Oryctolagus cuniculus: one gene and its partners. The protein of the gene in region 1 interacts with the protein of each later gene in a pairwise test. Links are inferred from orthologs where the notes say so. Each region holds a gene or a part of one and is shown in the gene's direction. Other genes may lie near its edges. The genes, in order: LDOC1, CTNNBL1, FAM50B, FAM107A, MFAP1, ZBTB16 and SMARCD1.

The links.
Region 2: the proteins of LDOC1 (region 1) and CTNNBL1 interact in binary tests that used the Homo sapiens proteins (3 or more experiments, as listed by UniProt). The two-hybrid records come from large-scale screens. The link is inferred for Oryctolagus cuniculus from reciprocal best matches to the Homo sapiens genes LDOC1 and CTNNBL1.
Region 3: the proteins of LDOC1 (region 1) and FAM50B interact in binary tests that used the Homo sapiens proteins (3 or more experiments, as listed by UniProt). The two-hybrid records come from large-scale screens. The link is inferred for Oryctolagus cuniculus from reciprocal best matches to the Homo sapiens genes LDOC1 and FAM50B.
Region 4: the proteins of LDOC1 (region 1) and FAM107A interact in a two-hybrid assay, tested with the Homo sapiens proteins (2 studies listed by BioGRID and IntAct). The two-hybrid records come from large-scale screens. The link is inferred for Oryctolagus cuniculus from reciprocal best matches to the Homo sapiens genes LDOC1 and FAM107A.
Region 5: the proteins of LDOC1 (region 1) and MFAP1 interact in binary tests that used the Homo sapiens proteins (3 or more experiments, as listed by UniProt). The two-hybrid records come from large-scale screens. The link is inferred for Oryctolagus cuniculus from reciprocal best matches to the Homo sapiens genes LDOC1 and MFAP1.
Region 6: the proteins of LDOC1 (region 1) and ZBTB16 interact in binary tests that used the Homo sapiens proteins (3 or more experiments, as listed by UniProt). The two-hybrid records come from large-scale screens. The link is inferred for Oryctolagus cuniculus from reciprocal best matches to the Homo sapiens genes LDOC1 and ZBTB16.
Region 7: the proteins of LDOC1 (region 1) and SMARCD1 interact in binary tests that used the Homo sapiens proteins (3 or more experiments, as listed by UniProt). The two-hybrid records come from large-scale screens. The link is inferred for Oryctolagus cuniculus from reciprocal best matches to the Homo sapiens genes LDOC1 and SMARCD1.

What each region holds. Positions count from the first base shown.
Region 1 is NC_091453.1:119,608,574-119,611,998, forward strand, and holds LDOC1 (protein LDOC1), read left to right. Parts: upstream 1-1,317; 5' UTR 1,318-1,681; coding exon 1,682-2,122; 3' UTR 2,123-2,925; downstream 2,926-3,425. UniProt on the Homo sapiens protein: May have an important role in the development and/or progression of some cancers.
Region 2 is NC_091442.1:20,960,757-20,964,881, reverse strand, and holds the start of CTNNBL1 (beta-catenin-like protein 1), read left to right. Parts: upstream 1-1,325; 5' UTR 1,326-1,553; coding exon 1,554-1,583; intron 1,584-4,125. UniProt on the Homo sapiens protein: Component of the PRP19-CDC5L complex that forms an integral part of the spliceosome and is required for activating pre-mRNA splicing.
Region 3 is NC_091436.1:166,404,642-166,408,779, reverse strand, and holds the start of FAM50B (protein FAM50B), read left to right. Parts: upstream 1-1,338; 5' UTR 1,339-1,494; intron 1,495-4,138.
Region 4 is NC_091441.1:91,449,216-91,452,715, forward strand, and holds part of FAM107A (actin-associated protein FAM107A), read left to right. Parts: intron 1-300; exon of another isoform or gene 301-546; intron 547-947; coding exon 948-1,122; intron 1,123-3,500. UniProt on the Homo sapiens protein: Stress-inducible actin-binding protein that plays a role in synaptic and cognitive functions by modulating actin filamentous (F-actin) dynamics. Mediates polymerization of globular actin to F-actin. Also binds to, stabilizes and bundles F-actin.
Region 5 is NC_091443.1:66,702,024-66,706,316, reverse strand, and holds the start of MFAP1 (microfibrillar-associated protein 1), read left to right. Parts: upstream 1-1,493; coding exon 1,494-1,572; intron 1,573-4,293. UniProt on the Homo sapiens protein: Involved in pre-mRNA splicing as a component of the spliceosome.
Region 6 is NC_091432.1:106,134,240-106,137,739, forward strand, and holds part of ZBTB16 (zinc finger and BTB domain-containing protein 16), read left to right. Parts: intron 1-474; coding exon 475-704; 3' UTR 705-3,500. UniProt on the Homo sapiens protein: Acts as a transcriptional repressor. Transcriptional repression may be mediated through recruitment of histone deacetylases to target promoters. May play a role in myeloid maturation and in the development and/or maintenance of other differentiated tissues.
Region 7 is NC_091442.1:53,425,896-53,429,395, forward strand, and holds part of SMARCD1 (SWI/SNF-related matrix-associated actin-dependent regulator of chromatin subfamily D member 1), read left to right. Parts: intron 1-1,246; coding exon 1,247-1,382; intron 1,383-3,061; coding exon 3,062-3,184; intron 3,185-3,500. UniProt on the Homo sapiens protein: Involved in transcriptional activation and repression of select genes by chromatin remodeling (alteration of DNA-nucleosome topology).

The sequences.
Region 1 (3,425 bases):
GTATTATGACTGATTTCATCATCAGAGCTGCACTACATAATTTGAAGAATCCTTTTGGACACTTTGTGCAGCCACCATTTCTAGTTTTCATCTCAACATTTGCATTTTGAGATGCTATCATTCACCAAACATTAATGGAGACCTTTCTCTGGGCCAGGCTGGCTTCTAGGCACTAGAGATAAAGCAGCTAGCAAACAAAGCCTCTCTCTGCACCAACTTACATTCTACAGTGGAGGCAGATGATGAACAAAGTGCTCTACAATGTGCTGGCCAGGATTATGATGATAAATGTTCTGTATTGAAACATATAAGGTAAGGGGTTAGAGACTGGGTGGCACAGAACAGGGCGCTCTGAGAACCGGAGTGCTCAGGAAAGTTCTGTAGGAATGTAAGGGGAGGAGCCAGGCCTCTAACTGGGAAGAGCTTTGCAATTCAGAGGGATAAAAAGTACAAAGGCCTTGAGGCTGGAATTAGCTGATATGTGTAAGAATCAGCAGGGGGTGGGGTGTGATTAGAGCAGAACTGGGAATGGGAGACCTAGGAGAGTAGGCAGGGCCTTCCTTATAGGGCATGGTCAAGACTTTGTTTTTTATTCTAAGTGACAGGGGAAACTATTGGAGGGTTTTGAGCCAGGGAGGGAAGGGATCTGACTTCTGCGCTAAAGGATTCCCACAGCTACTCTATAGAGAACAGAGTGTAGGAAGAGAAGAAAGCAAGCTAAAAGTGATTGCTTTTAGCGGTCTGGCAATGGTAGAAGTGACAAAGAGGGCTGCATTCGTTGTCAAAAACTATTTGAATATTCACATTCAAATAGAAAAAAACATTAAAGAGCACAAATGTCTTCATGGTTTCCTCATTGTTAAGAATAACAACCATTGCCACAGGCTCTGATATCAGGACGTGAAACAGAGCCACACAGGGAGGTCACCTTAAGCGCTTATCAGATGGTGACTTTGCAGAACTTGTTATAAGCCTCTATTCAGAATTTTTTCAACACTTAGTAATGGTTTCTAAATAAAAGTCCCTGTTCAAATACCGCTTTGCGACGAAAGCCCGGACCCCTTAAGAGTCTTTATGACTCTGAAAGGATCGGTGATTGCAGCAGGGCAGTCAGCAGCGTCAGTACTTCTCTAGGGGAGGTTTGAAAAGGCGATTAATCCTATCAACAAAACATCGCACCCAAGAAACTGGCGTTTGCAGACCCGCGAAACAGTGAATTGTGCGAGTCGGCTGTCTGCGACATGGCGCTCAGTGCCCGCCAGGCCCTAGGCTAACGCAGGCCTCACATCCGGGGCTCGGCCCCATTTCACAGCCTTTACCAGTTCTCCTAGCGAGCCAGCACTTGTCTGCTCTCCGCGACACTGCGCGACCCTGCGCTTCCCTCCCCGGCCACTCCCTCCCTGGTCTCAAGTCCCCTCCAACGGTTCGCGGCAGCCAGGCCACGCCCCCACTGCGTCCTGGCCTCTTCCCCGGCCCCGCCCGCACCTTGCTGCGCCGGCGCGCCGCCTGCCTGAGTGGCCTCGGGGGCGGAGCTTGCGCAGCCGCCGGGACCCCACGCTCGCCGTCCCCCGCCCCTGGCCACAGCACTTTATAGGACACGCACTTCCTGCAAGGCCTCTTGTGTGCATCTTGGCCCAGCGGAGCCTACTCGAGCGAGCCCAGACCTTTCAAGCTGTTCGAGATGGTGGACGAGCTTGTGTTACTGCTGCACGCACTGCTGGTGAGGCACCGCGCCCTGAGCATCGAGAACAGCCAGCTCATGGAACAGCTGCGGCTGCTGGTTTGCGAGAGGGCCAGCCTGCTGCGCCAGGTACGTCCGCCGAGCTGCCCGGTGCCCTTCCCTGAAACGTTTAACGGCGAGAGCTCCCGGCTCCCCGAGTTTATTGTGCAGACGGCGTCTTACATGCTCGTGAACGAGAACCGGTTCTGCAACGACGCCATGAAGGTGGCATTCCTAATCAGCCTCCTGACCGGGGAAGCCGAGGAGTGGGTGGTGCCCTACATCGAGATGGATAGCCCCATCCTAGGCGATTACCGGGCCTTCCTGGATGAGATGAAGCAGTGTTTCGGCTGGGATGATGACGAAGACGACGACGACGACTATGAAGAGGATGATTACTAGGCCCCGAGCCGCTGGGGGCCTATGAGGGGAGAGCCCTGCACGCAGCCACTTCTCCCTCTCCTCCACCCCCACCCCATCCCACCCGACCTCCGGAGCTGCTGCACTCCCCTTGCCTTCCTGTTCTCCCCTCCCCAACCCCCGAAGTGCTTGTCTTTGTTCCAGGAGTAGTGCTCCAGCTACCTGCTGCTGGGGCTGGGCAGGGGCCTCACCCTGAAGCCGGTCATCTGATTTGCCTAGCCCCAGGACCTCTCCCCACCTCATCTGAACTGTGTCATAAGCCCCAGTTATAGGCCAGGCCCCTGTTACAAACTGCTCAGATCACACTGCTGCTGCCACCTGCCTCGCTGCCAGGCCTACACCTGCACAGAGACTCATGCTACCACTGCGCCATCGCCCACTGCAAGCCTCTGACAGATCATCGCTTTTAGAGACAAGGACCAACACAGAAGACTTCTGACTTGGCTACACCTTTTCGGACATTGATTTGGACAGCTCATCGGCCCCTCAAGGGGCTGTTTTTCAACCTGGTTAGTTCCCTACCTACTCCTAGGGTCCTCTACCCAGCCTGAGTGCTGCGGGGACCTGGTGTGCCTGGCAACCAAATTGTTGATGTCTCTTTTCTCTAATGCACAACTGTCGTTTTTCTTTCATAATTGCAGCAGCCCCACCAATGTGTGTGGTTGAACATATGTTTCTAAAAACAAAACAAACAAAAAGCAAAAACGCACTAAGCTCAGCTCCTCAATACTACCTGGAAAAAAAAAGTTGGCATTATTTTCAATAAATATCAAGCACTACAAAAAGTGAGAAATGATTGTCTTTTAATGGTTAAGTGCTATCACTGGCATCTGCCATGCTCACACTGACTCCTGCTATTCCCATTGATGTCCAATTCAATCCCAGTGGTCCCTATTGTCATCTCTAGGCTACAGAGGACAGTTTCCACGGGGCTTTAAAAATATTCCAATGCTTCCCTTACCAAGGCATAGCTTAAAGCCCAAACGGAATGTCTTCTGGGGCCTCCAGGGTGGCATGGGTAAGGGGTGGCTGAGCATGTGGCTCATCATCCCAAACCAGGACACTTTTGAGAGTAAAAGGGGATGCTATTACTAATCATGGTGACACAGCAAGCGTATAAACCTGGACACATGCATGAAGGGGCTTCATGAAGTCCATGGGAAAATGGAACTAAAATAATGTACATTTTCAGTGAACTTTGTGAAGCCCCCAGTGTGAGCCCTGCTTGTCTTTTGGGTTCCTTAACACTGTCAGGGAAGCTCTGTCCCTTAACCCTTATTGCCTG
Region 2 (4,125 bases), on another chromosome or scaffold:
TGACCACCCCGATGTGTAGCAGTCACTGGTTCACAGTGTGGAAACACTCCCAAACGTCCTGAAAATAGAGCCGTATTGTGTGAGCCTTCTTACACCAGCTGGCCCTGCATATCATACATTAGAACACAGGGCTGCTCGTGTCCAGGTCTGTTCTGCCTCAGTGAGGAGAAAGGTCACCCGAAGCAAACTCGGTTCAAAGCAGAGTGTACAGACGAGCCTTAAAAAACAAACCAATCACAGAACTGCCTTCCCATGCCTGTGAGCACACAATCCAGTGTCTCCCAAGGCGCACAAGGCCCTGGCCTGGGCTTTGGAGACACACAACCCCCACGATCCTTCTCTCAAACAGCCTTCGCTCCAGGACACAGAGGCTGACGGACAAGAACCAAGCAGCCAAACGTTGAGTACAAAATTACAGACTGAGACACAGACCGTGGAACAGGCCCCAGGGAGGATAGGGACCGGGGAGCCGCTGCCACTTGGAGTGTGGTGAGTTGAGGAAGCCCACTCTCAGAAGGCGACACTTGGTATCAGATGGACCAGTGAGTTGGATGAGGCGTGGCGCTACCAGCCAGGCAGAAGAGAGGATTTGAAGAATGAAATGAATTTCTGTGCAGCTTGAGACAGTGGGATGGGATTATAGATATGAATGTGAAGGGCAGGGGCTTATGGGGAGGTTTAATTCCCTGGGTGGAGTCTGGAAGACAGAGTCTCAGAAGATGAGATGCACTCTTTGATTGTCTTCCAGTGACGGGCAGTTTCTCCTCCAGAAAACCCGTCTGCACCACTTGGATCAGCTCCCAGCGGCCTTGCCTGGATGATCAGAAGCTTGGGAGGAATCCACGACCACCCCCAGGTGCGGTGGCAGTCCTGGCTGTAGGCCCTGGCCCCTCACCTTTGGAGCTAGCCCTGCCCATCGGAAATACACATGAGACCCACAGATGTAAAAATCTTGCAGCCACGTTGAAGGAGTCAAAAGATACGAGAGAGATTAATTTTCTCATCTATTTTATTTGGCCCGAACATTTCGACGTGTCATCAGTCTAAGTCTTGGAAACCCCGTGTGCATTCTGGCTGGATTTCAAGCGCGCGATAGCTACTCTGTGGCTGCGTGGAACATGGTGCTGGCCTATGCCGTTCTGAGCCTCAGTTTCCTTACCTGGATGAAATCGCCTGGACCACCGCAGGGCTTGTGAGAGCACACGTGAGGCCACACCACCCCGCCCTACACAGAGAGGGAGCGCATTAAATCCCGGCTCCCGCCGCCCCTTCTCTCCCCACGCCTCCCTCCTCCAAGTCTCCGCCCCCTTCCCCGCCCCTTTCAGGCTCCAGGCGGAAGCCGTACGGTCACCACTGCGGCGCGCTTTACGGTAGCGCTGCCTTTTTCCGCAGTGTGGCTGCTCGCCTGCCGCACGCACTTTTACCCTATTGGCTCTGCGGGGCCTGGCACAGGGCGCTTTTCGGCAGTGTGGCTGGAAGCGCTGCCGAGCGGCCCGCGGTGTGGGTTTGAGTGGAGGGAACGAGCGGATCGGCTGTTGCCTGGACGGGGAACTATGGACGTGGGCGAACTTCTGAGCTACCAGGTATGAGGGACTGGGGAGACCGGGAGACTGCTCCTCACCGGGTCGGAGATCGCAGGGCCAGAGTGCCTTGGTCTCACCTCGTCTCATCTCCTTCCGGGCCCCCTCGCTTCTGACCTCATCTCACTTCACTCCTGCAAACTTCGCTAGTCCCTTCCTATGCCTGCTCCGGGCCTGAGCCCCTTTGCCTACTCGCACCCCATCCAGAGGTCTGGTTCCCATCGTCCTCTCCCAGCGGCCGCCACCGCCGAGTCGTTGAGTTTGTGCCGCTAGCCTCAGTTTTCTTATCTGCATAGTGGAGACGGTTTCAGCTACTTAGTAGAGTTGTTTGAGGTCTGTGTCAGCTGCTGAGCGTGCAAAGCTGTGCCCGAGTTGGCCGCCCTTGCTGGGAGATGCTCGTAATTCCAGCTTGGGCTGGGCCCCTGGGAAGCAGGAAGGCTCCCTTGTTGGGGTACTTGTGGGAAAACGGGAGGCCGGGCCGAGGTCCCTGAGCAGGTGAGAGCCGGGGTCGGAGCGCAGGTATCCTGACTTCAACCTCGGGATTCATCGCTTCTCTGATTGCCTGAGAGGCTCCGCGTGGGAGGCCGCAGAACCGCCCTGCCCGTCCGGGGTCGGTAGCCGCACGCCCTCCCGACCCCTGACGTGTGGCCAGTCAGAGCTGAGGGGTACTGTGAGTATGAGATCACACTGGGTTCCGAAGACTCAGCGAGAAAAAAGGAGTGTTTTTATAGGATTTTGTGATCACGCTGAGTCTAGCAACCACACTGATTATCGATCATATTGATTAAGTGATCCTATTTTGGATAATGGGTGAAATAAAATACATTTAAAACCAATTTTACTTGTTTCTGTTGACTTTCTAAAAGATGTATTTATTTTTTACTTGAAAGACTGAGCAACAGAATGAAAATGGGAGAGGGAGAGGGAGATAGAGATCTCTGTCTGCTGGTTCACTCCCCAAATGGCAGCAACAAGCTACATCTGGGCCAGGCTGAAGCCAGAAGCCAGGAACTCCATCCTGCTACAGGGGCGGCAGGGACCCAGGTACTTGGGCATCTTCTGCTGCCTTCCCAGGCGCATGAGCCGGGAGCTGGATCAGAAGTGGAATGAGTGCTGTGGTATGGGATGCCATCATGGCAGGCAGTGTTTTAACCTGACTTTTCAATGTGGCCACTAGAAAATTCTAAGGGGCTGGCTCTGGCAGAGTGCGTAAAGCTGCCGCCTGCAGTGCTGTGGCATCCCTTATGGGCACCAGTTCAAGTCCCAGTTGTTCCACTTCACGGGGCCGGCGCTGTGGTGTAGCAGGTTAAGCTGCTGCCTGCAGGTCCAGCATCCCATAAGGGCGCCAGTTTGAGACCTGGCTGCTCCACTTCTTATCCAGCTGCCTATACCCACATGGGAGACCCAGGGAGACCCAGATGAAGCTCCTGCCTCCTGCCTTTGGCCTGGCCAACCGTGGCCGTTGGGCCATTTGGGGAATGGACCAAGGGATGGAAGACACCTTTCTCTCTCACTCCCTCCTTCCTTCCCTCTCCCTCTGCCTTTGCCTTTCTGTGACTCTGACTTTCAAATAAATAGATAAATATTTAAAAAAGTAAGTTCCATATACTGTTGGCCATATTTTCAGTAGGCAGCTCTGCAGTCAAGAATAAGTGATTAAGAGCCATGTGTCTGTAGCCCCAGGTTGTGTGGAATATTTGGCCACTAACTGGCTGCTGTAACCTTGAAGAGACTGTTTAACCTTTCTATTCCTTGTTTTCCTCATCTGTGAGTGGGGCCGATGACGGTACCTTTCATAGGGCTGCTGTTGAGAAATGTAGACCAATGCTTGACAAAGTGTAAATGTTCAATAAATTGCTAATTATTTTCATGCCACTGCCTTAGCCAATATACGGAAACGCCACCCTGGGGGTTCCAGACGTCTGGGGAAAGAACTTGTGGAGCACGCGGGGGTATGCGTAACTCAGAGTTCTTTTAGACAATTGAGTAGACTGTGAAGGAAGGAAGGAAGGAAATAGGAGGGTTGTTGAATGAGTGTTCATTCAGGGTTCCAGCAGGAGGTGTGCCTGTTTGGGAGCGCTGGTGTAAGAAGACAGGGTGTGGGGCCAGCCCCGTGGCTCACTTGGTTAATCCTCCACCTGCGGTGCCGGCATCCCATATGGGCGCCGGGTTCTTGTCCCGGTTGGGGCCCGGGTTCTAGTCCTGGTTGCTCCTCTTCCAGTCCAGCTTTCTGCTGTGGCCCCGGAGGGCCGTGGAGGATGGCCCAAGTGCTTGGGCCCCTGCACCTGCATGGGAGACCGGGAAGAAGCACCTGGCTCCTGGCTTCAGATCAGCGCAGCGCTGGCTGTAGCGGCCATTTGGGGAGTGAACCAACAGAAGGAAGACCTTTCTCTCTGTCTCTCTCTCTCTCTCACTGTCTATAACTCTACCTGTCAAATACATAAATAGAAAACAAAAATTGAAAAAAGTTATTAAAAGAAAACAGGGTGCAGATGGGTGCCTCCTCACACAAGGCATCACGTGTAAGAAAAAGGGGTACAGAACA
Region 3 (4,138 bases), on another chromosome or scaffold:
TTTTGCCTTTTCTTTCTCACTTATCCATTCATTCAAGAAATTTGGGGGCCGGCATTGTGGCCCAGTGGGTGGAGCCACCACCTGCAATGCTCGCGTCCCATCCTGGAGCGCCAGTTCAAGTCCAGGCTGCTCTGCTTCCCACCCAGCTCCCTGCTAATGCACCTCGGAAGGCAGCAGGAGATGGTTCAAGTACTTGGGTCTCTGCACCTGCATGGGAGACACAGCTGAAGCTCCTGGCTCCTGTCTTCAGCCTAGCCCAACCCCAGCCGTTGCAGCCATGTGGGAGTGACCCAGTGGATAGAAGATTTCTCTCACTCGCTCGCTTTCACTCCACCTTTCAAATAAATAAATAAACCTCTAAAAAGTTTTGCCAGCTGCCCTCTCTTTGGGGAGTGAGTTAAAGAAGAGTCTACTACGAATAGCAAGCGGTTGGTGTTACAAACCAGACAACGGAAGCAGAAGGTTGCGTGAGATGCGCTCTTTGAAGATTCTAAGCAGTGCAGAGTCCTGCTTTGTTCCCCGTTTCCCCAGAATTCAGCTACTCAGGGCGCACCCGTGTCTCGGTTTTACAGTCATATGAAGCCTTCTGCATCTGGGGCAGCGTCCCACTGTGTCCCCACCCACTGTCCCGGGGATGTCTGTGTCTGTGCCTCACTGCTGCAACCCACACCTGCACCGTGGTGAAGATGGGCCCAGGGCTGGCAGGCGTCACAGGGCCCGGGAGAGCTGGAGGGCCTGTGTTCTCAGGGGCAGTCACCTTCCCTTCTGGCTACTTTGCTGTCCTGAGGAAATGCCAGTCTGGAGCCAGGAGCTTCTTCCAGGGCTCCCACAGGGGTGCAGGGTCTCAAGGACTTGGGCCATCTTCCACTGCTTTCCCAGGCCACAGCAGAGAGCTGGATCGGAAGTGGAGCAGCCAGGACTCGAACTGGCGCCCATATGGGATGCCGGCGCTGCAGGCGGCGGCTTTACCCGCTCCTCCACAGCACCAGGCCCAGACACCAATCCTTGTTTCAGTGAACTTTCACCTTGCCCCAGGCATCCCAGGCTTCACTCTGCCTCACTGTTAGGAAGTGAACAGTGGATAGGAGCACTCTCTATCACCTCTGTCTCTAATCTCTATCTCTCATTGCCAAAAAAGTGCAGGTATCCCAAGTGGTGCTGGTCACATGAGCCTCTGCAGTAACATTCTGGACACAGAGCCCTAATTAACCTCACAGAAGGAAAGAGCATCCGTGCAGGAGCAGCCCAGGAAAACCTCACAGAGAACAAGGGAGAGACAAAAGGATGCGTGGAGCTGGGGGCAGGGCGGAGGCAACTGGTCAACCCCGGCGGCAGTTACAGCGACCTCAGACGGAACGGCTCAGGCCTCCTGCTGATTGGTCAGTGACTGCCACGGCAGTTGTATGTGTTTTGCCTGCCATGGCTGTCAGTTAGAGGGAGCCTTATCGGGACAGGCACTGGGAAGGGATAATCGCCTGCTCTGCTCACCCAACGGTAAGGAAATCAGACTGCCTGCTGTCCAGCTGGGGCAGTAGCAGGACGCCCAGCTGCTCAGCTACAGCAAACGCTAGCCGGAAGGACGCTGACCGGCAAGCAAGGGTCTGGTTTCTTAGCTTAGGGCGGTGGGGAGGAACGGAGCCTTCTAGCCTTGCTGTGTTTTCGGGGCCCCTCAGTGGTTGAGTGGGGGTACTAGGAGGGCAGTTTTAGCAGCTGGTTGTGACATTGCAGCTCTGAACTAGGAAAACAGGCCTTAGGGCTCGTGTGTGCATCGCTTTTTAAATATTAGCTCATCACGGACTGCGTATGGGAGACGTCTAGTGTTCTAGGCGACCACTGATGTGGTCTGGTGATGCGGCCCTCTGATCCCAGGGCAGACTCGCGGCTGGCAGGAGGCACACGCGCATCGCTACAGAAGTGCCTGGGTTTCCGTCTGAGCTCCGCTCATGTCCACTTCCTGCTACAGAGCACCCTGGGAGGCAGCGGTGATGGCCCAAGTTCTTGGGTCCCAGCCGCCCAGATGGGAGACCCAGACTGGGTTCCTGGCTCCTACCGTCAGCCTGGCCCAGCCCCCGCCATTGGGCCATGGTGGGCATTTAGGGAAGAGAACTGGTCAAAGGAGGCTCTCGATCGCTTTTTCTGTCTCTCAAATTCTGTCCTCGGGCCCTCTCTCTTTCCTGAGCAGCTGTCTAACCAGCATCACACCCGAGTGCCCTCACTTCCTGTCTCTGGCTGCTCCGGTACAGTGGCTGGCCAGGATGCCCGAGGCAACCCCCTGGACACTCACTCACGTGGGGTTAACGACATCCTGTGGGAAGACCATCACCCACTGGGGCCGTGAGCTCTTACATAAATGCTTCCCCTCCCCCCAGCCCCCAACACAACCGCTCGGAGACACATTTCAAATTCGTGAAAGTCCCTGTGGGATCAAGCAGTCATCTACAGAGGAGGCTCCCTAGCTGGCCCTGGCTTTCCTTCTCACCCTCCCGCCTCATCCCCCCAGCAAACCCTCCTGCTCCCTGCAACACATTCCCAAATAAACTGCCCGTGAGTAAAAGCTCCTGGCCCGTGCTCTGCTTTGGGGAGTCCGGGCTGGGGAGAACAGGCCCTTCACTATCAGTCTTTCAGAGCCGCTGTGGTGGAAACCATCGCGGTGTCCCCGCCCCAGCAGGAGCCGCAGCCTCCTGTGGCTCACATCTTTCCTTGGCTTCCTAGTGATACCAAGGAGGCTGTAGAACTCCTATACCCAGCCGGTGGTGGTTTTAAGCCCATAGGTGGTAATTTACAATACTGGGAACAGTAGAGAATGTAGCCAGGAGATCTGGACTTGAGCTTTGCCACCTGCTAGGGGAGTGTCTGAGGGTCAGTCCTACAGCTCTTGAAGGCTTTAGTATCCCCGTCTATGAAATAAGGACACTGGGCGCTGGGATTGTGGCAACAGCCGGCTAAGCCAATGCTCGCAACACTGGCATGCTATATGGGAGCTCTGGTTCAAGTCCTGGCTGCTCCTCATCCAGCCTCCTGCTACCGCTCCTGGGAAGCAGTGGATGATGGTCCAAGTCCTTGGGTCTTCACCCTGACCCGACTGTAGCTGTTGCAGCCATTTAAGGAGTGAGCCAGCAGTTGGAAGGTCTCTTTCTGTCTCTCCTACTGTCTCTCACTGTTTGAATTAAATAAATCAGTTGGTAAGCGACTACCGTCCCAGGGTTCCTGCAACCATGAAAGAGGACCACCTGTGGTGAGCACATGCTAATGTGAGCACCCAGCGTCCACCTCCCTTCCTCCTGCCGACGCCAATTCCTGTTTGGGTGAGCTTCCACCTGGCCCCAGGCATCCCAGGCTCACTCCGTCTCCCACTCCAGTGTCGGCCCTTTAGATTCTCATTCACCACTGACCTGGTCACAGGGCCTGGACGGAGCAAGGAGAGATGTGGTGAGAGACGGGGGACTGAACTCCAGAGCGGGGAGCCAGAGCTGGCAGCCCCTGGAGCATGGCAGACAGCAGTGCGTGGCCCGGGGAGCGTGCGCCCGGCCAGGAAGCAGGAAGCAGGAATGTGAGGGCATTGCGCTTCCGAAGCCAGCCGCATCTACAGCCCATGTGACCTTGCCCTCTGCAGACGGGCCAGTCGCTATTTTTTCTTTTTTATTTGACAGTGGGAGAGAGAGAGAGAGAGAGAGAAAGAGAGAGGTCTTCCTTCCATCGGTTCAATCCCCAAATGGCCGCCACGGCCGGCGCTGAGCCAATCCAAAGCCAGGAGCCAGGTGCTTCCTCCTGGTCTCCCATGCAGGTGCAGGGCCAAGCACTTGGGCCATCCTCCACTGCCTTCCCAGCCACATCAGAAAGCTGGACTGGAAGAGGAGCAACTGGGACTAGAACTGGTGCCCATATGGGATGCTGGCGCCGCAGGGGAGGATCAACCAAGTGAGCCCCCGGTGCCAGCCCCCGCCAGTCACTAATATTTTACTGCAGCCAGTTTGAGTCAGACCTCACACAGAGATTCCCAACTTTCTGAGGATGTAAATTATTTCTTTTTCTTTTTCTTATTTGACAGGCAGAGTGGACAGTGAGAGAGAGAGAGAGAAAGGGCTTCCTTTGCCGTTGATTCACCCTCCAATGGCTACCGCGGCCAGCGCGCTGTGGC
Region 4 (3,500 bases), on another chromosome or scaffold:
CCCACGTCCCACGTCAGAGCGCCTGGGTTCAAGCCCCAGCCTTGGCTCCTGACTCCAGCTTCCTGCTAAAGCAGACCCTGGGAGGTGGCAGTGATGCTCAAGTAGCTGGATTCCTGCCACCAGCGGCGGGCCGGGGTGGCGGTGGGGGGCTGGACTGAGTCCCTGGATCCCAGCTTTGTACAACGCCCACCCCCCAGATATTGCAGACACTTGGGGAGGGAGTTGGCAACTTTTTTTTTAATTTCTACAAAAACATTTCCTCTCCTTCCCACCTTCTCTCTTGCTTTTGGACATTCCAAGGTTAAGGAACCAGCTTGTAGAAGAGGGAACCCTTAGGTCTGAATTTCAACTACACTCACCACTTTCAAACTGCCATGGTAGAAGTGAGGCCATCAAGTAGCCAGCCGGTTGCATCAAAGATGCCAGCCATCCCTTTGTAACGAGTGGCACAGCCCCTGCCTCGCACAGCCTCCTCTTTGGTCCACACAAAGTGAAAAGCTAGACATTCCCACCACAGCATTTGGAACTACAGATGGAGAAATTAGGGTTAGTATTTTCACCCCTGCATGTATCCAATCATCTTTAACAAGTACCTATCACTTTTTATCTATCTTTCCTTTTTCTGTTTTTCAAGTTCATTGAAACACACAAACTCACACCTAATTCCCTTTCTAGTCGAAGACACTTTTTTTGTTTTTTTTGCAATCAAGCCAGAAAACATATGCAGGTCCCAACCCATTTGCTGTAACCCAGGCTCACTTGCTTCCCTTCCCCAGGTATCTCACAAACACTATCACCGATCCTTACAAGCCCATGCATCGGTCCAATCACTGCCAAGATCAGGATAGCGAGGACCCCCTGACATGAAACCCCCACCCTTCAACGGTGCCTGCTGGGCACAGGCGGGATTGGGGGCTCAGCTCTAACCCCTGTGCCCATCTCCACAGCCTCCATGTACTCCGAGATCCAGCGGGAGCGGGCGGACATTGGGGGCCTGATGGCCCGGCCAGATTACAGAGAGTGGAACCCGGAGCTCATCAAGCCCAAGAAGCTGTTGAACCCAGTGAAGGCCTCGCGGAGCCACCAGGAGCTGCACCGAGAGCTGCTCATGAACCACAGGAGGTGCGGGTGGAGTTGGGCTGCCCTGGCCCGGCTGGAACAGGTGCCCCTCGGGGAAGGCAGCCCTGGTCTCATCCTGGGCTCCTGGAGGCCGAGGAGGGCTGGGGGTGCCCTCCGTGGTCAGCACGGACACTGCCAAGATCCAGTCTGCAGAGGGTCCCCAAAGCCCTGTACACCCAGCCATCCACTTCACGCCAGCACCCCAGGGGCGTCCACCAGGAGCACAACCAGAAATGAACCCAGTTCCCACACTTGCAGAGCAGATGCAGGCACAAGCAGGCAGGGATGGTGTTTCATAAATTTTATTCCAGAGGCAGAAAGAGGGGGATCGTCTGTCTACTGATTCACTCTCCAAATGCCCTCAACATCCAGGGCTGAGCCAGGCCAAAACCAGGAACCAGGAATTCAATCCAGGTCTCCCACGTGGGTGATGGACTCAAGTACTTAAGCTATCACCGGCTAGCTTCCAGGCTGCACATTAGCAGGAGGGGAGCCAGGACTCAAAACCCAGCCACTCCCATACGGGGTGCCTGCAACCTCAATAGTGACTTCATCACTGCACGCAAAGTGGGTCTGGAAGCCCAGTGGAGGAACCTGGGAGGGGTCCAAGGTGACTGCCTGCAAGAGTGGATGCCTCGGCTAAGGCTCAAGTGGGGACGGGGTGAGCCAGGCTAGGACGTGGGCGTTGCATGGCAGAGCGGGAAGCATGTGCAAATGAAGCCACACAAGCAGCTGGGTGTGGCTGGGGCAGAGACTGAGAGGGGCAGCCAGGAGTAGAGCTGCAGAGTGACGAAGGCATAAGCAGTGGAGGCACACCATCTGGTCAGCTTTGGCTGAGGTAGGGGAACGGACCCGCCACACTGGAGGCGGCAAGCAGGAAGCACAAAAACCCAGTATGATGAAGAGGGGCTCCAGGGACAAACAGGCTGTGGCTGGGCTGGAACTCCACAACCGATAGGCGAGGGTGGACAGGGCGCAGCAGAACCGGGAGGAAGGCGGCATCGCCGCCTTTGTCGCTCCCTCTGCTGGCCGGTTCTGGTATTGGAGCCGGTTGCGATTTCCCTTCCAGTTTTCAGGAGTGACCAACATCCTTTTGTGCCTGGGTAGTTTGGGGTTTTCTATTCACTCGGTGTTATTACAATAGCATTTTCTCTGATTGGCTTTCAGAGGCATCGCATTTAATATCAAAAATGTCACCACAATGAAAAGCAGAAGCTTAAAGATGAACCAGGGGAAATATGTGCAATATTTTACAATATTTGCAATAGATTTTATTGGAAAAAATTTATATGCAGAAAAAATTAATAAATTCTGATCTCTTAAAAATCCACAAGGAAAAGATAAGTGAGCAAGGGGCACAGCGCTGTGACATAGTAGGCTAAGCCTCCACCTACAGCACCAGCATCACATACGGGTGCCGGTTCGTGTCCTGGCTGCTCCATTGCTGGTCCAGCTCTCTGCTTATGGCCTGGGAAAGCAGTACAAGATGACCCAAAGGCTTGGGCCCCTGCAGCCACATTGGAGACCTGGAAGAGCCCCCTGACTCCTGGATTAAGATAGACTCAACTCCAGCTGTTGCAGCCATTTGGGGAGTGATTCAGTGGATGGAATACCTCTGTCTCTCCCCCTCCAACTCTACCTCTCAAATAATAATTTTAAAAAAATAAAAAACAAAGATAGATGAGCAGAAAGCAGATACAACTAATTCACACAAAAGGAAATGCAAGGAGTTACTAAACTTATCAAAGCCTGTTCTATGTAAAGACACAAATGAAAACCAGACATTTACCTATTTGAAAGGCAGACAGAGGGAGAAAAGATCTTCCATCTGCTGGTTTATTCCTCAAATGCCTGCAACAGGTCTGGGCCAGGCTAAAGCCAGGAGACTAGACTTCATCCGGATCTCCCAGTGGGGAGGGTGGGTGGCAGGGATCCAAGAACTTGGATCATCTTCCACTGCTCTCTCAGGCACATTAGCAGGAAGCTGCACCAGAAGTGGAGCAGCCAAGACTCGCTCCAGCAGCCTATATGAGGTACCATTGTTCCAAGTGGCAGCCTACCCCATTGTGCCACGATGCAGGACCCCAGGTATTATTTCTTAGCTACCAGATTTGCAAAGGTAAAAGAGATTGGCTGGTGGCAGAGGGGAGAAGCAGAAGCTCTTGTGCGCTGTTGACAGAGCGGACAGGCTTCTAAGGGACAGACAGAAATAGGAATCCAAGATCTTCCCTAAGAACCTGATGCAAGAACACCACCTTTAGAAACTCATCCAGAGAACCTAAGCAGGAGCGTGCGTTCGGCTCAGAAGTTGGGATGCCCACAACTCTGGCTCTTGACTCCAGCTTCCTGCTAACGAAAACCCTGGGAGATGGCCACTGATG
Region 5 (4,293 bases), on another chromosome or scaffold:
AGGTGATTTGGCCCTGCATTCACATGGGAGACCAGGAGGAAGCACCTGGCTCCTGGCTTCAGATCAGCACAGCGTGCTGGCCGTAGCAGCCATTTGGGGGGCAAACCGATGGAAGGAAGACCTCTCTCTCTCTCTCTCTCTCACTGTCTAACTCTGCCTGTCAAAAAAAAATTACTGTCCAGCGCCGGGCTCACTTGGCTAATCCTCCGCCTGCGGCGCAAGCATCCCAGGTTCTAGTCCTAGTTGGGGTGCCGTATTCTATCCTGGTTGCTCCTCTTCCAGTCCAGCTCTCTGCTTTGGCCCAGGAGGGCAGTGGAGGATGGCTCGAAGTGCTCAGGCCCTGCACCCGCATGGGAGACCAGGAGGAAGCACCTGGCTCCTGGCTTCGGCCACAACACACCAGTCGTGGTGGCCATTTGGAGGGTGAAGCAATGGAAAGGAAGACCTTTCTCTGTTTCTCATTGTCTAACTCTGCCTGTCAAAAAAAAATAAATTACTGGTGAAAGCAAACTACCACAGCATTTCTGAACTTCAAGATTTTTCTCAGATAGTCCCTTCTGTATCCCACCGCAGCAGTTCTGAAGTCCTTTCTTTGGTGAAATGTTAACTTCAAATTAGTCATTTTTTTGCACAACTTATAAATTGGGGCTGCTTTTGTTATGATTCTAACAGTGTTCAAGACTTCCTAAATAAAAAATCTAGCTTCTTGAAGAAAAGAGCTTTTTAGCCATGTTCCATACTCCTTTCAGAACCCTAAGTATGGTAAACATAAATACTCAATCATAACTAGGACTTAAATACAAACACAGCAGATAGGGACCCAGGAACTGTGGTGTGAGATCGGTATCCTACTTGCTAAACCAAACGCCCATCTGGAATTAGGTATTTGAATTAGACGGTTACCAGAAACAAAGAATTTAAGAGCCTTAAAGTTGAATTGCAGGATCTGATATCGTTTGCCAGGTCCCTTAGGAATTGTGTGTTTGTCTCTCTCTCTGGCCTAAATCACCTAAATACCCTGCCACGGTCCACCCAAGCCTCATCAACTCGTTAATCAGCTCTACAAGATTAGCAAACTCTAGTTCTTCCAAGTTTTCACAAATTTAGACAGTCCTTCACTAGCTCCATCACTATCCCGTCGTCCTTGGCTTCAAACAAGGATAAGGTGAAACTTTTTAATCTCAAACCCGCTATACAGCTAACACCTCTCAATTTCCCGACAGACGAGGTTTCCAAATCCCGCGAGATTAAGTATGCGCGGTCTCTACGAACATGCGCAATAACAGACGCGACCTGTAGGCGCTCAGAAGTCCTCCAGTATCCCACAATCCTCTCTTCATGCTTTTCCGGGTTATATAGCTCGGCCGCAACTAGTTTCAGTCGCGTAGCAGCTTCCGGTGGACCTAGGCTGGAAGGAGGTTTTCTTCTCGCCTTGTTGGTGTTTACTGTTTAGGAGCACTCTGATTTAGGGAATCACCGCCGCAGTCGTCAACATGTCGGTACCGAGCGCACTCATGAAGCAGCCGCCCATTCAGTCTACGGCCGGGGCCGTCCCGGTTCGCAACGAGAAAGGTACTGTTTTCACCCGTCTTCCAGTCGGATCTTACCTCTGCCTGCCGTGCGTCCTGCAAACCTCCCTTGGGCTTCCCATCCCAGCCCCACCGACCCTTAAGTCGGTTGCCAGTTTCTTCCACCTTCCCACCGTAAAATCTCACCCAGTGCGATAGCGGGGCTTGGGGAGGGAGGTGCGGGAGGATCGACAGGCATCTAATATTTCTGAGACATTTCTGCTCTTACGTGCAGTAAACTCTCTGCTTTTGGGCTCCACAAATTCCTTAGGATGAGAATTATGAAAGGCTCATATGTGGTGAATCTGTTAGCGGAGCGTTGTCTTAGCGATCTGTTTATGGTGTTTTTATAACACATCAGTTATTGTAGTAAACGCATAATCTCCTTGATGTGGAACCGTCATCCTCAACTTTGTATCCATTTCAACCATTAGAGTGAATATGTTTAATAAATTGAACACAATGCTGTGTAAGACAGTGCCCCTAACCTTAAGGAATGCATACTCAAGGAGATTTATTTGAAAGGAAGAGAGAGGCGCCGGCGCTGTGGTGCAGCGGGTTGACACCCTAGCCTGTAGTGCCAGCGTCCCATGTGAGCGCCGGTTCGAGACCCGGCAGCTCCACTTCCAATCCAGCTCTCTGCTGAGGATGGCCCAAGTGGGAGACCTGGAGGAAGCTCCTGGCTCCTGGCTTCGGAGCGACGCAGCTCTGGCCGTTGCGGCCAATTGGGGAGTGAACCATTGGATGGCAGACATCTTTCTTTCTCTGCCTCTGCCTCTGCCTCTCTTCTCTCTGTGTAACTCTTTCGAATAAATAAATAAACCTTTAAGGGGGAGGGGGCGGCACCCCGGCTCACTAGGCTAATCCTCAGCCTGCGGCGCCGGCACTCCAGGTTCTAGTCCCGGTTGCTCCTCTTCCAGTCCAGCTCTCTGCTGTGGCACGGGAAGGCAGTGGAGGATGGCCCAAGTGCTTGGGCCCTGCATCTACATGAGAGACCAGGAGGAAGCTCCTGGTTCCAGATTGGCGCAGTGCACCGGCCGTAGCAGCCATTTGGGCGTGAACCAACAGAAGGAAGACCTTTCTCTCTGTCTCTCTCACTGTCTAATTTTGTCTGTCAAAAAAAAAAAAAAAAAAGAGAGAGAGAGACTCCCAAAATTGCTGCGATGGCTCCTGAAGCCAAGAGCCTGGAACTCCATCCAGGAGGTCTCCCATATGGGTGGCAGGGTCCCAAGTACTTGGGCCATCTTCCACTGCTTTCCCAGGTGTATTAGCAGGGAATTGGATTAGAAGTGGAGCAGTCCAGCCCTCTATATGACGTGAGATGCCACTGGCACAAGCAGCAGCTTAACCCACTGCACCACCATGCCGTGTGTTCATGTGTTTTATTAGCTCTCCGTTTTCTTTTCTGTGAATCACCTCTTTCTGTCAGTCATTTTCTGTTTGCTGGAGGGTTTTTGGTTTTGTATGTGTGTGCGTGTTTTATTTACTTCAAAGGCAGACCGAGAGAGAGAGAGAGAGAGAGAGAGAGAGAGAGATTGATTGATTGATTGATTGATTCACTCCTCAGATTCCTGAAACAGCCAGGGCTGGGCCAGGCTGAAGTTAGGAGCCAGGAGCTCCATCAGAGTCTCCCATGCAATTGACAGGAATCCAAGTACTTGAGCCATCACCGGCTGCCTCCCAGGTTGTGCATTACCAGGAAACTGGATCAAAAGTGGAGTTGGGACTTGACCCCAGGCACTTCATTATGGGATGTCGGTGTCCCAAGTGACAACTTAACTGCCTACATCACAGCACCCACCCATTTGCTCTTTTTTTTTTTAAGGATTTATTTATTTATTTGAAAGGCAGAGAGGCAGACAAAGAGGTCTCCCATCTGCTAGTTCACTCCCCAAATGGCTGCAACAGCCAGAGCTGGGCCGATATGAAGCCAAGAGCCAGGAGCTTCCTCCAGGTCTTCTATGTGAGTGCAGGGGCCCAACAGCTTGGGCCATCTTCTACTGCTTTCCTGGGGCATAGCAGAAAGCTGGATCAGAAGTGGAGCAGCCGAGACTCAAACTTGCACCCATATGGGATTCCAGCACACAGGCAGTGGCTTTACTTGCTATACTATAGCACTTGACCCTATTTGCTCTTTTTTTAGATATAACATTCCAGCTCTATAATATTCTTTTCTCTATTTTTTTGGCTTGTCTTTTAACTTTTAATTATCAAGTTCTCAGTTACAAAGACATTTTTAATTTAAGTATTGTCCAGTTTATCAACTTTTATGGTTTGTACTTTTTAAATATATTGTTCAAGAAATTGTTCCCTAGGGGTAGGTGATGTGGCATGGCAGTTGAATCGCTGTTTGGGACATTGATGTTCCAGTTTGAGTGCACAGTTCAAGTCTCTGCTAATTCGCTTCCAGTCCAGCTTGCTGCTAATGTGCCTGAGAGGCAGCAGCAAATGGATCAAGTACTTGGGCCCCAGCCACCCATGTGGGAGACCAAGTGGAGTTCCTGGCTCCTAGCTTTAGCCTGCCCCAGCCCCGGCTGTTGTGGCCATTTAGGGATTAAACCAATGTATGGAGGATCTCTTTCATCTCTCCCTCTGTCACTTTGCCTTTCAAATCAATTTTTAAACATTTTTTATTTTATTTATTTAAAAGGCAGAGTTGCAGGTGGTCGAGAGTGGGGAAGGTAGAGAGATCTTCCATCTGCTGGTTCACTCACCAAATGACCAC
Region 6 (3,500 bases), on another chromosome or scaffold:
AGGAGCAGGCTAAGGTGTGGCCTTGTACCCCTAGCTTCTTAGTCCCTGCCCCCCCCCCCCAGTTCTAGTCGGGGGCGGGGGGGGGGGCAGAACAGGGATAGTGTTGGAGGGACTGACTTCTCCTGTCCCCACCCCCCACATCCATGGTCCTGCTGCTGAACAGGGAGTGGGGGCACTGTGACCTGAGGAGCCCTCGCCAGGTACGTCCTTTTCTTTACTTAGGAAGGGAAGAGGCCAAGTCTTTTAAGAGTCCAGACCAGCAAGACAGGGGGCTGGGGCTATGCTGAGCATTTCTGTAGCCACACGTGTGACATCACAATAAAGTAAAAAGTGTAGTGGGCCAGCAGCATGAGACACACCATAGCCGGGCGGTGCAGAGCTGGAGGGACGGAGGCCTCCGGCACCAGGCCTACGCCCCACTGCTGTGCCTGCTTCACTCTCCTTGCCCCGTCTTGCCCCCCCACCATCCTGCAGGTGAGAAGCCCTTTGAGTGCAAGCTGTGCCACCAGCGCTCCCGGGACTACTCGGCCATGATCAAGCACCTGCGCACGCACAACGGCGCCTCGCCCTACCAGTGCACCATCTGCACGGAGTACTGCCCCAGCCTCTCCTCCATGCAGAAGCACATGAAGGGCCACAAGCCCGAGGAGATCCCGCCCGACTGGAGGATAGAGAAGACGTACCTCTACCTGTGCTACGTGTGAGGAGGCGCCCGGGGCCGGGGGAGGAGCGCGGGACGACGTGGAGGAAGGACTGTGCGCAAAGACACAAACGGAAAAGGAAGAAAGGAGAGAAGAGAAAGAAATCGAAAAGCTGGTGGGCCTTGGGTTCTCCCTGGGGCTCTGGAGCCTGGGATGCTACGCCACTGCCCCTTCCCCCTTCTTTCCTGGGCCTGATTTTCTTGGGAGGGTAGGGCGGGGGTGGTTTTGCTCACTCAGATGGAGGCAGCCTTTCCCTCTCTCTCTACCCAGAGCCGCCTCTTGTGTCCAGAAGTGGAGGCGGGGGACAGGGGAGAGGGCCTCTGGTCCCAGTCTGCCTGCCCTCGTCCCACTGCCTCTGAAGCCGAGGGAGGGGAGCAGCGGACACAAGGCTGAGCTGGCGGGGCAGGGCTGGGCCTCGGTCGACACTCATGATGGCAGCTCTGGCTTCCCAGTGGCTGATGGGACAGGGGAAGAGCCCCTGGCTCGTCCCAGCACTCAACTTTCACCTGTTGCTTTCCCCGCCTGCCACCCCTGAGCATCCCCTCCTGGCCTCCAAGAACCCCGAGGCTCTGGGCTGAGCTCCTCATGCCCTGCGGGCAGTCAGGACCTGGGGGCACTCCGGGCTCCTCCTGGCTCTGACTCTCGGAGGCACTGTCTTCCTTCGCCTGTGTCCTGGTTGAGGAGCTGCCTCCTGCCTTTGCTTTTGAGAACACAGAACGGAAGGGATGGAATAGCCTAGCCCAGCCAGTCAAGCCCCTTCGTCCATCACAAGGGAGATTCCCGCCAAGCTGCTTTTTGCTTCCAAAATGGAAAATCGTAACCACCGAGTGTATAGTTCCCCACCATGCAAACAGTCCCTCCAGCCCTCTTCAGTTGCTAGGGGAAAGAGTCCAAGAAAGACTCATTGTCCAGGGGGAGCCATGGGGGTGTCTTTGTCCAGATGGGCCCTACACCTGCGCACGGGAACAGACGCTCCGCCTGAACTGTTAGGCCGTATCAGGGACCCCCTCAACGTGGGGACCGGGGTCCCCCAGACAAGGTGAGGCCCTGGGGACGTCCGGGTGCAGACAGCAGCACAGAAGCCCAGCTCCAGGGCCCCTCAGTCCACAGGGTTGGGGTTGGGGTAGAGGGAGGAGTGGAAAGTGTTTTGGCCTTGTGTCATGTTTTGCTTCTTTTCTGTGTCCCCTGTCAGCACATTGTACTTGAATTACCTCAGTTTTTTGTGACCTCATGAGCTTTTTTCACCCCCTGCTTTTTTTTTTTTTTTTTTTTTTTTGGGTTGGGGGGTTGGAGGAACGGGGAGGGTATCCTTTTCTGTTTCTTGTGTAAATCAATAGTTTATAGACTTCAGCTGGCCTGGGCCTCCCAGCCACAAGGCACTGTGTGGAGGAGTCAAGTGCTCAGGATCTGAATGGGAGGGTGGGCGCAGGGGATGGTGCCCCGGGGTCTCGCTGCCCCCACAGGGGCCTCCATCCTAGGCTCTTAAAGCCTCAGTGCCCTGTAGGAGATCAGCCCAAAACACTCAGGAGAAAATCCCACCTTTCTTTCCACCACTCTGCTGGGCCAGCCAGCTGGGAGGGCTCGCCCGCCTGTGTCCATGGCCACTGCCACAGAGCCTCTAGGTTTCTGTGGCTGGTCTGGGGACGAGCCAGCTTTTAGTTCTGTTGTGTTGGGGTGGAGGTGTGGTTTCTCCAAAAGCTACCTCTTGTGTTCATCCAAGTGTTCTTTTGTCCCCCGTTGGCTGCTCTGCTCCCCGCCTTTGCCCCGCCCCCTCGGAGTGTGGGAAAGCACGCTTGGGATCTCCACGTCGGCTTTGGGGTGATGCTCTGTTACATCTCATGCTCTCTGTGTAAGGAGTTTGACTTGTGTTCTTTTTCTTTCCTTTCTCTTTCTGAGAAAGTTGTGGCTGCGTTTGGATCTTAGGTTTTAGGAAGTGGTTTGGGGGGAGCAGGGTGGTGAAGGAGCACATGGAGGTCAGAGGGGTGGGTGCTGCTGAGACCACCCTCCCCCGCCCCACCCCTCCTGTCTTGTCTATGGAATCTGAAGGCCTTAAAAACCGTATGGGAGGAGCAGTGGACCTGGGGGAGGGGGGCTGTGCCACTAGACTGGGTTAGGCAGGTAAGGTAGGGAGTAACTATGACTTTGTGCTTTGAAAAGGACGAGAGATTCACCTGTCATGTTGAGAATGTGAAAAGAGCAGGATCATTGGGGGAGGGGCCGGGTAAGAAACCACTGTGCACTCCTCCCTCCTTCATGGGCCTTCAAGGCATCTGGAAAAAAAACAGTATTTTTAATGGCAAGATGTCATTCAGCATTGGAGGGGAAATTAAAAAAATAACCCCACTATTCCTTAGAACTAGCTGGCCTTTCTCCCCTACCCTTCCCACTCAGCCTGGCCTCCCCCTGCCCCTGGTCACAGAAGCTGAGAGGGGTGAGCTACTCTTTACAAATTGTAATATTTTTGTAATATTTGTTCTTCCATCAGTTCTACAGGACCTGGCCCTTCCTTTTGTAATGTGAATAGGGAAAACAAAATCCACACCACCACCACAGTGTCCCTGTGTATGCACGTGTGCGTGTGCTTTGTGTGTGTGGCCAATCACGCAGAGGTGCCTCGATCTGGTCTTGCAGCATTAGATGGTACTAGGTCTGCACCTGCCTGCCTCTCCCGGTTTGGAGGTCGGGGGGTGGGGGGGATCGTTTCTGAGGGATGCTGGACAAGCCCATCCCTGTTCTTGCTGCACAGTCTGCTCTGCTCCCACCAAGCCCCAAGTCACCCCGAGGAGGGAGGCTCCAGTC
Region 7 (3,500 bases), on another chromosome or scaffold:
TCTGTTCACTTTTCTTGTTCCCAAGTTAGAGAGCGAGGCACTTCTAGGCAGATACGGAGTGAAGAAGAGTACTTCCTCCTCAGAGCAGCATTTCTCTGTAGTTAGACAGCGTCTCTCTGTAGTTAGACAGCGTCTCTCTGTAGTTATCGTCTTGCCTTCCTCGCTTTGCTGCAGATTCTATCCAGTCAGGGGCCTGAACCATCACTCACCTGGTAGCAGTTCCTATACCCTATAAGTTGGCACTGGAGCTGGTCTGTCCTGTATTCCCGTGCTTAAAGTTAGGGATGTGTGTGTGTGTACACATTATTTTCAGCGTCAAAGGTTGGGGCTGGCGCTGTGGCTAGGTGGATAAAGCTACCTCCTGTGACACCAGCATCTCATATGGACGCTGATTCGAGTCCCGGCTGCCCCACTTCCGATCCAGCTCCCTGCCAGTGTTCTGAGAAAGATGACCCAAGTGTTTGGGCCCCTGCTACCTATGTGGAGACCCAGGTGAAGCTCCTGGCTCCAGCCTAGCCCAGTGCTGGCTGTTGCAGTCATCTGAGGACTGAGCCAGCTGATAAAAGGTCTCTTTCTGTCTCCCTCCCTCTGTGACTCTAACTTTCAAAATAAATAAGAGGGTTTTTTTTTTTTTTTTTTTAAAGTTGTGTTTGTTTCAAAGGTGGAGTTACAGAGAACAGGGAGTGAGGGAGAGATGTCTTCCGTCTGCTGGTTCGTTCCCCAAATGGCCTCGCCAGCTGGAACTGGGTCAGTCTGAGGCCTGGAGCCAAGAGCTTCTTCCGGGTCTCCCACGTGGGTGGTACGGGGCCCAGGTTCTTGGGCCATCTTCTGCTCTCCCAGGCAGTAGCAGGGAACTGGATCAGAAGCAGAACAGCTGGGACTCAAACCAGCGCTCCTATGGGATGCGGGCAGCATCCTTACCTGTTGTGCCACAATACTGGCCACCCCCAAGTGTTGTCTTAATCACTGTGCCAACTACCCGTTCCTTACCTTTGACTTTGTAAAAAAGCCAGCCCTGTCGAGGAGTAATTTATATTTCGTAAACTGTAGCCATTTGAAGTATAGTTTGAAGACTTTGGGCACCTGTGTACACTGGGAAGCTGCCATTGCAATGAAAGGCGAGAAGGTTCTGTCACACCTGAAAGTCCTCAGGCCCTTTTGGAGTCGGCTCCTTTTCCTGTCCCTGATGCTGTGTTGTCAGATCTTGGGACAAACCCCTCACCAGGCCGTTTGCTTCCCTCCCCAGTGTTGACCCGAATGATCAGAAGAAGACAGCCTGTTACGACATTGACGTGGAGGTGGATGACACCTTGAAGACTCAGATGAATTCTTTCCTGCTGTCCACTGCCAGCCAGCAGGAGATCGCGACCCTGGACAACAAGGTAGGGGCCCCGCCTAGATAGCGTGGCTGTCGCCAGCAGGCCACCTTTTGCTGCTTGGTATTCATTCTGAATAAAGGGCACTTCATGAAGGACGGAATTGAGAGGTAGATCTGTTGTGACGTGAGGAAATTCGGAGATGCATCGGAGTGCTTTTGCATGCGCGTTTCCTGGGATCTTTTTGAGGGTTCCCCAATACGTGGACAGCCAGCGTCTGTCAGGTGCCGTGGTTGGTGCTGATTGGAGTCAACCTCCCCATGAATCCCCTCCTCTGGACTCTGGCTGCCCCTTTTAATAGCATTAAGCCTCCGTCTTTCTGATCTGTGAAGTGGGGACCATTAACACCTGTTCCTCGGAGGTTGCCATTCGGAGTCAATGAAATCGTGTGTGTAAAGACATGAGTGTGTTTCCGGCGTGTAAGAACAAGAGTGGGAAATCCTGCTGCTGTCGCTGCTGTCTCCATTCTCCTACTAACGGTAGACAGAGTCCCGGACAGTGAAGTCACTGGGGATCCAGGGGAGAACAGGGAGAGCTGATGCACTAGTAAACCCTGAACGACCACATGGAAGTTCCCACAGGGGTGGAAGGGTAGCAGGGCCGGGGACCTTAGGGGCAGAGGGCAGTCCAGAAAGATGGAGTGGGCTCTATAGACTTCCAGAAGTGAGAGAGAGCCCGGCGTGTTCAAGAAGAACAAGCTGTTAGGGCTCTAGACACAGCACAGGGTGCTGGGCAGGGAAACAGGAGCCTGATCATGAAGCTTTGGTGCAGGGAGAACTGGTTTGCGCGTCGTCCTGGACAGGAGGCCGGGAGTCTGCTGGGGCGAGCATCCCCAGTGGAGGTGGGGGCGCTGTTGCATCTGGAGCGATCACTGGCAGGAAGTAGAAAGAGGGGCAGATCTGGAAGCCGCCGGAAGCCCCAGTGAGGCTGGTACAGTAATCCGTGTGTGAGCTATTGGGGCTTTCAACATAAGGCGTGCCCAGTGAGGCTGGAAACGGGTCGACAGGCTTGACGGGGCCTCAAGTGCAATCAAGGGATTTGGCCACTGTTTAGATGGGAGTGAGGGGTGGAGTGCTGAGGGGGAGGCATTGAGAGGACTCCCAGGCTGGTGGCAGTGATGGGCAATGCTGGGAGCAGAGGAGGAGAAGCAGGTGCGGGGAGAGGGCCATGAACTTCGTTTTGGATGTGGTGAGCGTCAGATGCCTTGCAATGTCGAGACAGTAGCCAATCTGCTTGGCGTTCAGGAAATGGACTGCTGACTGGGGAGCTGTTCCCCTGTCGGTGTACACAGAAGACGTACAAGACAGACATTGCCAGGAAGAGTGTGCAGAACAAGGAGAGAGCTGGGAACCAGACACCTGCTGAGCCAGCCCTGCGCGCCTCCTTTTCCACCTCACAGTTGTTTGGCGCCTGTTTCTGCTTGGATTAAGTATTCTTTGCAGCTGTGCCCATGGTATGTATTGAGGAGTCGAGAATGGAAACTTCTCTCACAGGAGGTAAACAGAGAGACAGAAACAGGTGCATATCACCTGCTGGGGAGCCCCAAGGCCGGAGCAGTTGGCACCCTGTGCAGTGGCGCTGGCTCTGAGCTGGATCTAGGCCAGGAGTGACACACAGAGACATCAGGTGCCGCTTCATTCTGTTTGTCCAGCTTGAAACTGGTATAGCTTCCATCTCGCTTTCAGATCCATGAGACGATAGAAACCATCAACCAGCTGAAGACGCAGCGAGAGTTCATGCTAAGCTTTGCCAGAGACCCCCAGGGCTTCATCAATGACTGGCTTCAGTCCCAGTGCCGAGACCTCAAGGTAAGGAAGCCGGGGCTGATCCGCGGGCCTCAGATCTGCGAGGCACTCGTCTGCTTTATGGCAGAGCACCTGGTGGAAGAGCCAGGCAGGGAAGAGAGAGTGCACCCAGGTTTGCTTGAGCACGCCCCAGGGTCCAGGTTACAGTGAAGTGGGGAAGCAGAGGCACGCTGTCGGGTGCTGACTTAGTGTCCGTGCTCTGTGGCATCGGGGATTTGCGGTGCAAGGCCTGGCTCTGCCTTCAGCGCAGCCGTCAGTCTGGAGAAACCAGGCCAGTGTGATTAGAGTAGGGAACCAAGTTAAGACATTATTAGAACTG